Linked DNA regions of Caenorhabditis elegans. The protein of the gene in region 1 interacts with the protein of each later gene in a pairwise test. Each region holds a gene or a part of one and is shown in the gene's direction. Other genes may lie near its edges.

The links.
Region 2: the proteins of pfn-1 (region 1) and cyk-1 interact in a two-hybrid assay, tested with the Caenorhabditis elegans proteins (one study listed by BioGRID).

What each region holds. Positions count from the first base shown.
Region 1 is NC_003279.8:12,920,270-12,924,381, forward strand, and holds pfn-1 (Profilin-1), read left to right. Parts: upstream 1-1,734; 5' UTR 1,735-1,770; coding exon 1,771-1,896; intron 1,897-2,740; coding exon 2,741-3,013; 3' UTR 3,014-3,279; downstream 3,280-4,112. UniProt on the Caenorhabditis elegans protein: Binds to actin and affects the structure of the cytoskeleton. At high concentrations, profilin prevents the polymerization of actin, whereas it enhances it at low concentrations. By binding to PIP2, it inhibits the formation of IP3 and DG.
Region 2 is NC_003281.10:7,023,077-7,031,065, reverse strand, and holds cyk-1 (WAPL domain-containing protein), read left to right. Parts: upstream 1-1,860; 5' UTR 1,861-1,869; coding exon 1,870-2,349; intron 2,350-2,485; coding exon 2,486-2,579; intron 2,580-2,963; coding exon 2,964-3,025; intron 3,026-3,072; coding exon 3,073-3,309; intron 3,310-3,362; coding exon 3,363-3,539; intron 3,540-3,586; coding exon 3,587-3,786; intron 3,787-3,835; coding exon 3,836-4,118; intron 4,119-4,167; coding exon 4,168-4,528; intron 4,529-4,575; coding exon 4,576-4,712; intron 4,713-4,762; coding exon 4,763-5,414; intron 5,415-5,460; coding exon 5,461-5,995; intron 5,996-6,042; coding exon 6,043-6,548; intron 6,549-6,593; coding exon 6,594-7,015; intron 7,016-7,060; coding exon 7,061-7,228; 3' UTR 7,229-7,424; downstream 7,425-7,989. Other genes in the region: rfl-1 (NEDD8-activating enzyme E1 catalytic subunit), read right to left, coding at 7,500-7,695, 7,739-7,915, 7,959-7,989.

The sequences.
Region 1 (4,112 bases):
CGACTAGAAAACTCTCAATTTTCCTATTTTTTTTGATGAAATTTCAGCTCACAGTGAGTGTTTTGTAGAAAAATGTAAAATTTTCCCCATTTTCCCCATTTTCCGCTTTCTGGAGTTTATTCGTTCGATTTACTGACAAAATCTTCGGGTTTTCTGCAATATTTATAGAAAAATCCGGCCAATGCTACGAAATTTCTGTTTTTCGCGGCTCTTTTGACTATTTCGTGACTTTTTTGGGGCTTCGATCATCAAAATTTCGAATATTTTTATGATTTTTGAGCATTTTGATGTATTTTTTTTCTTCTAAATGACTTTCAGATCTCCTTGGCAGAAAAAACTGCGAATATTATAACAACTTGAAGCTTCCTCGACGATTTTTGGCGACCTGCTGTTCCATGTGACTCACCATTCCAATTTCGCAATCCACTGGTCATTCTCGGCATTAAGATCCATTTTCAGCGCTCAATTTCGCAATTTTCAAAGCTAGAAAGCTTTGTTCAAATTGAATTGTTTCGCAACTCGTCTTCTATCGCCTTTTGGTTCTCTTTCTCCTCCGTCGTCTTCGCTGTGTTCTCTTCAAAATGATTCATCATTGGCTTTGGTTGTGTCTCTGGGTCTGTGTGTTCAATATAAATTGCAACTGCATTTGACATTAGTATGGATTGAGGCGGGTTATTTCACCCTCTTTTAGTAGTACACACACATTCAATTTGATGGGCGGTCTCTGTCTCTCTTTTCGTCCTTTATGGGTGAATAACTGACCAGCGGAGCAAGCAGGCAGGAGCAGGAGCACAAGCTCGTTGTTCGGGTTGAAAAGGGGAAGAAGGAGAGCACCAGATGGCATGCAAACATTCTCTTTCTCTTCTTCTCTCTATTGCTTTTCCTCACTGTCATTCACTGCTTCTCCATTTGCCCAGCCAATTAGATGGAGTGTTCCGGGTGGTCAAAGATGTCCTCTAGTTTTCGTAGCAATTTTCATCTTTCGGAATTTGAAATTGGAAGTTTTCTTTAATTTCTCTCAATTTTGGGTCATCTGGCGATTTTATGCCATTTTTCTTGTGAAATTAAATTCTCAGATTGCTCTAGATAGTTCAAATCCTCTAGTAGTTGAAAATTCGCCTCAAAACGTTGCTTTTTTAAAAAGAATTCTCCCTTAAGTTGGTCCTAATTTCTCGAGGCGAGATCTTCCAAAAGCTGAATTTTTCCAAGTTTTCTACATCTGAAACTCGAAATATTTACTATTTTCGTAGTTTTTGGTAGTTTTCGGTGTTTTCGAGCTTCAATTCCGCCTTTTTGGCCTGAAAATGGTCTGAAAATCATCGAAAATTGGTCAACTCTAGGTAAAATGCCAATTTTGGTTTAAATCGGCTCAATTCACAGAAAATTTCCAAGAAATTCATGAAAGAAGCTCAATTTTTGCACTACATTGGCGAGAAAATTGTGAATTTAGTGAGATTTTGTTGGTTTTTGTCATTTTATCCATTCGCAAGTTCTTCGCCACCAACTTACACCACAGATAAGCAAAAAATCTGCGGAAATATCAATTTTTGGGTATTTCGGCATTAAAATTCCATTTTTTGCGCAGTAAATCAAAAAATAATCGATTGTTTACAAAAACCGTAATTTTCAAGCGATTTTATGCTCTTTTTCTCCTAATTTGTGCTCTTTCTTCATATTATCATTTCTCATTACCCCTCCAACCATCTCAATCATAATTTATGTTTATTTTTTCAGTATAATCTCCGCTTCAACCTCCTCCAAAACACAAAAATGTCCGGATGGAATGCCTACATCGACACAATGACTGCCGCTGCTCCATCAATCAAACGGTGTGCAATCGTCGGAGCCGCTGATGGATCTGTCTGGGCTCGTACTGAGGCTGACAATGTGTTCAAGGTATGGAAATGGACGAAAATCATCGAAGAAGCTCGAGAAAAAATCGATTAAAACTGGAAACGATTGAAAAATCCTTAAATTGACCCATTTTTGAGATTGAAAAGAGCTAGCGGGGTCGATTTTTGTTGGAATTTTCGCATTTTGACCCAAAAAACTGAAAATCTCGCGAAATTATTCACTTTTTGAATTGAAAATCGAAATTTTTAGCCGCTGAATTTACATTTTACAGGAATAATTAGCAAATCCACTCAAAAATTGCAAAATTTTCATTATTTTTCGAACAAAATTAAAAAATTCCAGATTAGGCAGGCTTCAGGCGGCCGTGCCTGCCTACCAGCCCCTGTTTCTCATATAGTTTATACTTCTTCGAAACCCAAGTAGGCAGCAGACAGGCTTAGGCTACCTTGAAGGTCAGGCAAGTTACCTGCCTGACTACCTTCGAGGTGGCCTGCCTGATACCTACATTAGAGCCTACTTGTATTTCAGCCGCCTGAAGCCTGCCTACTCTGGAATTTTCTAAACTTTTTTTTTTCAGATTTTTCAATTTCATGAAAATTTAGAGTTAAAAAGCGTTAAAAAAAAAATTAAAATTCGAAGATTTTTTCCTGCAAAATGTAAATTCACAGACTGAAATTTGTGATTTTCCAGTATCTCGGCCAAGAATAAGCCGATTTTTTTGGAAATTTCAGTGTTTTGAGGCCTAAAAATGCGAAAATTGGGGAAAAAGGCTAACTTTAGGGTTACTGGATTTAAAATTTCGAATTTTTGGAAATTTCAAAGCGCAAATTTTTTAACAAGAAATATTTCCTGTCCAAAAACTTCTCTAATTTTTTCCAATTTCCAGGCATCCGAAGAAGAGCTCAAAACCTTCGTTGCCCTATTCAATGACGTCACTCAAGTTCCAGCAAAAGGAGCCGATATCGAAGGAGTTCATTACGTCGTTCCACGTACCGAAGAATCGCTCATCTTCGGAAAAAAGGAGAACACTGGATTCTTCGCTGTGAAGACCAAGTCTGCAGTCTTGATTGCTGTCTACGAGGGACCAAATGAAGTTGCTGCACAAGTTCGCAAGGCTGTCGAGAGTATGCAAACCTATCTCAACAATGCTGGATACTAAATACTTCTCTCTCTATCGATTGTTGTTCGATTCGTATTTATTCCCGCTTTTCTCTATTTTTTTTTTGCAAACTTCCCCCTTCTCCCTTCTCCCAAACCTTGATTTCTACGAGTACAACGATGAAATTCGGTTTTCTTCCGCGTAATCTTTCCCTCAAAACTCCCATTCCCAGAGCAAACACAGAAACAGTTTTTATTTCACTTTCAGCTTTATCATAATGTATTGTATTCCCCCGTTTTGTTTTCTAGTAAATTCATTGCCAATTCAATGCCTTCTCGATTATTTCATTTTCATCTCCCATCGACGGAGAAAGAGAGTGAGAGAAGAGTTTTGTGCTCGGAGCAATTATCGCGTGTTTTTTTCGAAACCACGCCCACACTGCAATTGTGCGGCGCGGTTTTTTGGTCAGAATCATTTTACAGATTTTTATCATCGTTTGCAAAAATCGTTTAGAGAAAAAAAACTCGGAAAAAGATGTCTAGAAAATGAGGGAAAAACAATTAAAAAGTAATCACATTTGTCAAATGAAATTTTCCACAATATCTTACGCGAATGGGTCTCGCTAGGCAGACAACACGGTTACTGTAACTCCTGTCGGTTTACAGTAACCTGTTGCCAGCGTGGCGAGACCCGTGGGAGTGAGATATGGCGGAAATTTTTATTTTTCGGCGTCTTCGTATTATTTTTTATGAGAAAACCCATAAGAGTACGTAAGAAAAAATGGCCGAAAGTTTAAGCTTTTCGAAAATATGGAATTTTTCTATATATCGGAAAATCATAAATTTTCGTCTCAGAAAAGGGTGCCGTTTTTCGATTTTTCAATGTTTTTAGGGAAAATTTTCGATTTTCCGAAAAATTTCATTTTTAGAAAAATCAAAAACCGAAAAAACTGCTCATTCCAGTATGATAATTCAACTTTTTTAAATTCATAATTAAAATATTACGTATTTGGCGCACAAGATATGTCGTAACGAAAACTACAGTAATTCTTTAAATGACTACTGTATGTCGATTTACGGGCTCTATTTTCGTATTGGATTATTTTTCAATGCTGGTTTCCTTTTCATAAGGAAACTCCCAAAAACGGAAAATAATATTT
Region 2 (7,989 bases), on another chromosome or scaffold:
TCGTTTTAAAGTTTGGTTGTATACCATTTGGACTTAACTGAAAGGGTGTCACTTCTATCTGTTTAAATTATTCTTATTCTAGGTGTATCCCACAATTGCCTAATTTTAAATTAGCGTTTCTAAACTCATATGTCACATCTCGCAACTTAAACAGTTTTTCTTTTAGGTGTTTACCAAATATCTAGGTGTTCTCTCTCTGTTAAATGTCTATGTGACTATGCTATTTGCTCTTTAGCTTATCAGTTACCAATGATCATAGAAATCTTTCCTCTTGAAGTTAAATGTTACTTTCTGAAAGTTTATCTAACAAAATTTTCAGTTTTCAAACAATTGTCTTATTTTCAGTGTTAAAAAACCCACCCAATTGCCTTGATATCTTTGTCTCGTATCTCTCTCTCTCTCTCTTCTCAACGGCTTTACTATCCGGTTTTCTGTCCGCCTCATTGGCTCAGTGGCAGAGCGTCTGTCTAGTAAACAGAAGGTCGCTGGTTCGATTCCAGCATGAGGCACCGAATTTTTTTGAAGAAATCTTAGTCTTTAACATCGGATTACTGTAGAATTATCACATATTTTTTGAGAACGTATCCAGAAAACATTTTTAGACATTTTAAGGTGTTCTATCATTCGTGAAATTAAGCGATCATTGCACATGTAGTAATTTTCTTTAAAATTTATATTTGCACTTCAGTATTTTGAACGATCGGCAGTGACTTCATGCATGTGTGAATAGAAAATACACATTGTAGAGCATCCGGCCGGCGAACACGCTATCATTCATATTTCTGTCAACAGTGATATGTCTATGATAATCATATGCTCAAAAAGCACCACCAGCCTGTCCACTTGACATGAGTCTCCATTTTGACCGTCTCTCCTTCTCTACTTTCTCCATGAGTCCTCTTATCTCCTTCACATGTGCCCAATGACCCATTTGGCGGGAAAAATCAGACAAAAAAGAGAAGAGAGCAAGGGATTTGCATACTGTAAAACAGTGTCAAATTTCCTTCAAGAATGAACGAGCTTTATGTTAGCCGCCAAAAAACAAGTAGTTGGATTCCTTTTAAATATATTTTATTTATGAGGACGAAAATCCCAATCAACTCAACGATGTGTAATAAATATCTTAAAATGTAGGATTGCAGTTTATGAATTTCCGCGAAAACGTGAGAGTTTAAATTAAATAGGCTGTTCTCAGATACTAGATTTTAAGCAAATTATATGCTGGCTGAAAACATATTATTTCAAAACTTAATGAAGAATGAGCTAATCTCCATTCCCGAGTTCATTTTCTTGTTTTCCGGAGCACTTCTCAAATTCTCTTCCTCTCCCTTTTTCGCTTTCTCCAAATACCGAAGTGACTGTGTTTATTTTATATTTATTTTGTTCTTTTATCACTAGGTTCTCACACATTTCCTCCATTTCTCACTTTTTCATCCAACGACCCGCATGCCCTGTCGATTTGCCTGCCATTCAATTTGAATAGATTTCATTTTTGTATTTTTCTCCCCAAGAATCAGATGACATTCCACTTCTCTTTTTCCCCTTCTTCTCACTTTTCTAGAGTTCGCTGATTGCCTTCAATTTTTAGTTGGTTTTCTGTATATGGAAAATAACAAAGTCTCTATTTTTCGTAAGAAAATTATTTTCCAATCGGTTATTCATTTCTTCACTATTTTTCTCCCTGGTTTTTGATTTCTCTGCACTTGTCAATACAATTTCAATTCAATTCACGGTTTTACCTTCATTTACGATTAGATTTTATTACCTGTATTGAGGTTATTTTGACCGTTTCGGTAATCCGCTCCACTTTATTAATTCAATTCGTTCCGTTCAAAATCTCGTTCAGTTTGAAACATTTCCAGCTTAAAAATGTCTAGCGATGATTATGAGTCAATTGACACGCCACGTGTAGCTTCACTAGCTGATATGAATCGACTTCCTACCCAATCTCGTCATTCAAGTTATTCAACGGATGACGATGAAGACGTGACTCCTACACCATCAGCTTCTAATTCTGCTCCAAAAAATACAATTCTAGACCCTCTACAAGCGCAGTTTCTTCACCCGAATTCTGAAAATTCTGATATAGACGAGCCTCGTGTGCAATTGCGCGAAAAGAAAAAAGCGACTCGTGCACAAGATGCAACTGTTTCTCATTTCTTGGAAGATCAAGTTCCTAATCAGAAATTCAAAAGGAGAAGCGCTGAAAGACATTCAATGTTGGCTGGAGCTGCTGATTTTGCTAGTCGTAGGAGTCCATTTCATTTAAGTGGAGCGAATGGTTCTGGAAGATGGACTGATTTGTTCTCATCGAGCAGATTTAAACGAAAACAACGACAGAAATTAAATGTTCGTATCTGGGAATTCTTCTACCTAAAAATACAGAAATAACATCTTATTATTAGAGAAAAGTAATAATAATAATTAGAGTTTGCAAAATCCTCAAATTAATATTTTCCCCACAAGTATATTTTCTTATTTTCAGAATGTTCCATCATCGTCATATTCAAACAATGACTACGGTACATATGCAGGCACACAAAGTATTGGAGGTTTCTCGATTGCTTCAAATTCTTCAGGTAATATTTTTTTTCTTAATCTTGAAAATAAAAATTATGTCGCTAGTTAAAGGTAGAGTACGGTCAATATTGAAATTAAAACCCGTTCCTATGGTGCTAAGATGTCAAAATGTCATAGAACTTCTCAAAAATATTTTGAAATTTTTTTATTATTTCACAATGTGATTTGTGAAAAAACGGTGAAAACTGATTGTGAGTTTTTGCCACTTTTCTTTCACTTATTTTTGACTGTAGATTTAAAACATGTTATTATGATATTTAATAATTTTAGCGTCATAGGAAGCGTTTTTCAAATTGTTTTCCCATTGACCGTATTTCACTTTTAAACGAGCATTAAACTGAATTATTTCGAAGATCTCCATTTTCAATATAAAATAGTTCCAGGAGAATCATTTGCCTTGTCAGGAACTGAAGACGAAATACGAGAAGAATTCAGGAAAATTATGGTAATATTCTTTATAGAGTTCTTATTATATTTCTACTAATTTTGCAGCTCGACAAAGGTCTGCCCGAAGCTGATAAAATTATTTCTAATACGCCACTTGATCAAATGAAAATGATGATTGAGAATTCGAGAAAACAAGATAATCAGGCGAAGGGAAGGTCTCCGGAATGGGTTGTACGAGTATTGGGAGAAATATTGAAAACGAAAAACATTCCGGAATGCAAGCAGGATATTGTTACTGTACGGGTTCAGCTAGTTGGTCAAGGTGTTTCATTTCTTAATAAGGTTCGTTTTTTAAGATAGATATTGTTACTATTAAAATACATATTTATTTTCAGTTCGCCGTAGAAGTTCATGACGAGTCTGGTCGCACTGGAGCTGATCTTATCTGCTGTCTCTACTCATTAGTCTTGAAACGACTGAGAAGCAGTGAAGTTGGCTCGAAATATGAGCTTGATTTGATTGATTTCTTGCAAGAAATCGTCAGATGTGTCCGAACGCTAATTAATACACATGTAAGTTTGTATGTTTTCAGTCTAATTCTAATTCTACACTATTTCAGGTTGGCCTTGTTCTTGTATTGCGACGGAACTCTCCTGTATACTCACTTCTCATTCAAACATTATGCGTCCTGAACAGGCGAGAGCAAAACGATCATGAAGCAGCTGAGATTCGAGCTATTCGGGTTGATGTGGTTAGAACATGTTATACGTTGATTTTTGTTCAACATGATACGCTGTCAACTCCGATTGAAATGACTGGGTAAAAATTTTGAACAGTTCAAATCTTATTTAATTGAAATGCATTTCAGTCAACAAAAGATGTTCATGGAGTTGTCCTTAATAGCTAAAGCTGAATCCAAACGGCTCAATGAACCAGTTTCTCGATTTCGGCCCCTCATCAGCTGCATCGATTTTCTAGAATCCCGCGATCCAAAACAAGGAATGTACGTACTTCTGATGATAAATATGATGATCAATGGTGTCGATCGTAACATAAGTGATGATCAAATGTGGACAGAAGAGACGATGTGGCAAGCACGAATGAGATTAAGGAGTGAAGCTGCAAAAGATAAACTTCACAAGTACATTGAGGTAAATTTGATTGTTTCAGAAAAATAATCTTATCCCAGATATTTTCCAGAAATTCACTACATCTGAAACTGTAAACTCGCAAATTCGGGATGTTGCTCAGAACATGCTCACTGAGCACAATGCAGATTTGGAAACACTGATGGGGAAGCTTGAAAATGTAAAAGGAGAATATGATACCTTGGATGGATGTTTTGAACTTCTTGCCGCCAACTCTGAAGCCACCGGAACCGAGACAGTGCTCCTTTCAATTTTACAGCTTATGACTCTTACTAATGAGGATATGTCGACGAAAAGATCGTATATGAAACTCATCGAGACAGCCATATCAGATATTCTTCTGCATCGAACTCCAATCGATCCACAAGCGGATTATAAGTTTGTGTTTGAGGTTCCTGTGGCCGAGATCATTGGTTTGTGATCGAGAGTATATTGAAAAATTAAATAATTTTAATTACAGATAAAATGCAAGACGAAGAGATGGCCAAAAAAGTTCGACAAGCCACGTCGGCCAAACAGGAAGCTGTTGCAATGCAAGGAGAATACTGGAAAACATTATGTGATTTCCAGAAAGAAGCTGAAGAACTGAGAAAACATGTATATTTACTTTTTTAGAAGCGGTTTGATTGAAACATGTTATTTTTCAGATAAATGATCCAAAAATACCTCTTCCTCCGCCAACGAAGATGAACTTGTCGGCTCCATCCACATCTGCTGGTGGATCTTCAGCTCTACCGCCAATAACTGGAGGTCCACCACCACCTCCAGGTCTCCCACCAATCACAGGAGGGCCGCCTCCACCTCCTCCTCCTGGTGGTCTTCCTCCAATCACCGGAGGACCCCCGCCGCCGCCTCCACCGGGAGGATTGCCTCCAATATCTGGAGGTCCTCCACCACCTCCGCCGCCTCCTGGAGGATGTCCACCTCCACCTCCTCCACCACCACCGGGAGGGTTCAAGGGCGGACCGCCACCACCACCTCCTCCAGGCATGTTCGCACCGATGGCTCCCGTGATACCTGATTACCTTCCACCCAAGAAGGTTCCAAAGGTTGATGGTCCCATGAGAAAGTTCCCATGGGGAGCACATACTATCAACCCTCGGGATATTCCAAGAGAGTCGTTCTGGGTTGGAACAAACGAAGAACAGCTGACCAGCGATCGAATGTTCGATCGTTTACGAACCAAATTCGCCACGAAACCTGCTGCAAATAGTGGTACTCTTGGTGGTGTCTTGAATAGCAAAAAGAAAGTGAAGACAGCACAAGTCATTCATGACGATAAATTACTTCAAAAATTGGGTAAACTCGAAGAAGTATATCCTTTTTTATGATCTTTTTCTTGCAGGCATTCTTCAAGGATCAATCAAAATGTCGCATTCAGAGCTCAAGCTGGCGATTTTGGAAGTCAACGAAAAGGTTTTAACTGTCGGATTCTTGGAGCAACTTCGATCAGCAATGCCAGTGGAGAAGGAGCTTATTGACAAGCTGAGAGCGGTGAACAAGGCTCAATTTGAGGAAATGCCCGAGGGTGAACAATTTGTCACTCGTCTGCTCCAAATTCAAGGTCTTCCGCTTCGTCTCGACTTGGTTCTATTCAAAATGCGATTCTCTGAAGTGTTGAATGAACTGAAACCAGCCATGTCGTCAGTGATGGAAGCGTGCGAAGAAGTACGAGCATCTGAAGGATTCCGAACATTTTTGAAACTTGTTTTGGCGACTGGAAACTTTATGGGCGGAGCGACAAAAAACTATTCGAGTGCTTACGCGTTCGACATGAGAATGCTGACAAGACTGGTTGATACAAAAGATGTCGATAATCGGCATACTCTTCTACATCATTTAATTGAAGAAATGAAGAGAATCGATCCAAGACGAGCACGGTGAGTAGATTCCTTTACTTGCTTTCTCAAAATTTAAAAAATTTAAGATTTGCTCTCACCGACTTCCATCATTGCATTGAATCGTCCCGAGTGAATGCGGATGAAATTCGAAAAACTGTTCAACTGACAGAGAATAACATTAAAAAACTGGAGAACTGCTTAAAAGTGTACAAAATTCAAGGAGAACGTGATTTATTCGACGAGAAGATGCGGCCGTTCCACGAAAAAGCTGTCAAAGAGTTCTCCACAGTTTCGTCAATGTGTGGAAAGATGAAAAACGATTGGGAGTCGTTGGTCAAGTATTATGCATTTAACGACAAAAAATATCCGATGGAAGAATTTTTCGCCGATATTCGCACCTTCTCTGAGCAATATTCGAATGCTTGGAAAGAGTTGGATGCCGAAGCAGAAGCAAAACGAAAAGAAGCAGAATTTGAGACACAGAAGCGGAAGCAGCTGCAACAATCTCAACAAGAAAGGAAGCCGTTACAAGAGAGACAGGCGATTAATAGAGTGCCAAGAACTCCGGCTGCGATGATTCGAGTTTCGACTGGTGAGTTGATATTTTTGAAATTGTTTTTTAATATAATTTTTTCAGCTGCCGATAAGGCTGGTGTGCTCGATGAGTTGGAGCGTGCTACAGGAAATGCTGATTTCCTTCAAACCTTGATGTCTGCCACAAATTCTCGAACTCCTCGTTCCGGATTGCCAGCTCGAACTCGCGGAGGTGGAAGACTTGGAGGAGGACTTGATCGGCAAAGATCACGACATCAGAATGCTTTGGGTCAGCTTCAAGATCTCACTGGCTGCGCATCGGAACCGGTTCTTTCCGGACAGTTTGCTCGATCACGCAACGTTCCTCAAAATGATCTGCAACGACAAAATATGGAACTTCCATCATCAGTAAAACCAACAACGGCGCTTGATAGGGCTAAAGCATTTGGAGTTGGATTGCCGATTGGTCAGAATGAGCTCAAAGTTCGAGTGAGAAGGAAAGGGCAACCAGCTGTTCCAGTTACGGTAACATATTTTATATGTGGAAACTTTTCGAAATTTAACTTTCAGAATATCAATGGAACATCGCAAATCTCACCAACGCACAAAGAAAACGATCCGACGGGTTCCTCGTCAACTTCATCTGGTCCTGCATCATCAAACACGGCTACATCATCATCATCAGGCACAGTGGTGCCATCAACAGACGATCTTCTCGCACGTCTTAATGATTTCTGAAAGCTCACATCGGTTGTCTTATCTATAGATCTAGTCATTCTCCGTCTCTATTTTTTCTGTATTATTGCCACATTTTTCATACTTTAATTGTCATTCACAGGGTCCCTCTTCTCGTTCCATTTCAATTGCTCGTTGTATTTTCATCAGTTCACTTTTCCTTTCTATTTTCTTTAGGTAAATATTTTGAGTTTAAAAACGATTTTATTTTTATTGACATGGAACACAGGCATACTTTACCCGAGACATTCAAAAGTGAAATAGAAGAAATGCATTAGATGAGCTGAATTCGTAGTGTAAGTGCACGAGACAATGCTTCGTCGGATACCAGTATTTCTTCGCCATCGCTAACAAGATCTTTCATCGAAGTATGCAGATTTTCTTTGCTTTCTTGTTCAAATTGTGGCATGAAACTGCTAATACAGTAAAGTTTTCGAGTTGAGGTCGCTAGTGTCGGATGTTTGAGATGGCTGAAATTTGAAATTTGTTTTCTAAAACAAACGGAGAACGTACAAACGCTCCGAGAGTCTGATGATAAGCGATTCAAGAGTTGAAGATGGTGAAACTTCGAATGGAAGACGCCCACCACTACAAGTGAGACAATTGTCATCTTTCATCATTGAAACAACACTGGTATATGCTCCGTGAATTTGAGTGAAATTAAGATAATTATCGATTGGTTTGGCAATGCTGAAATTGAATATTGAGAGTTTTAATATGTGATCTTACATACTTTGTGGCCAATTTCAGAGCTTCTAGGGCAC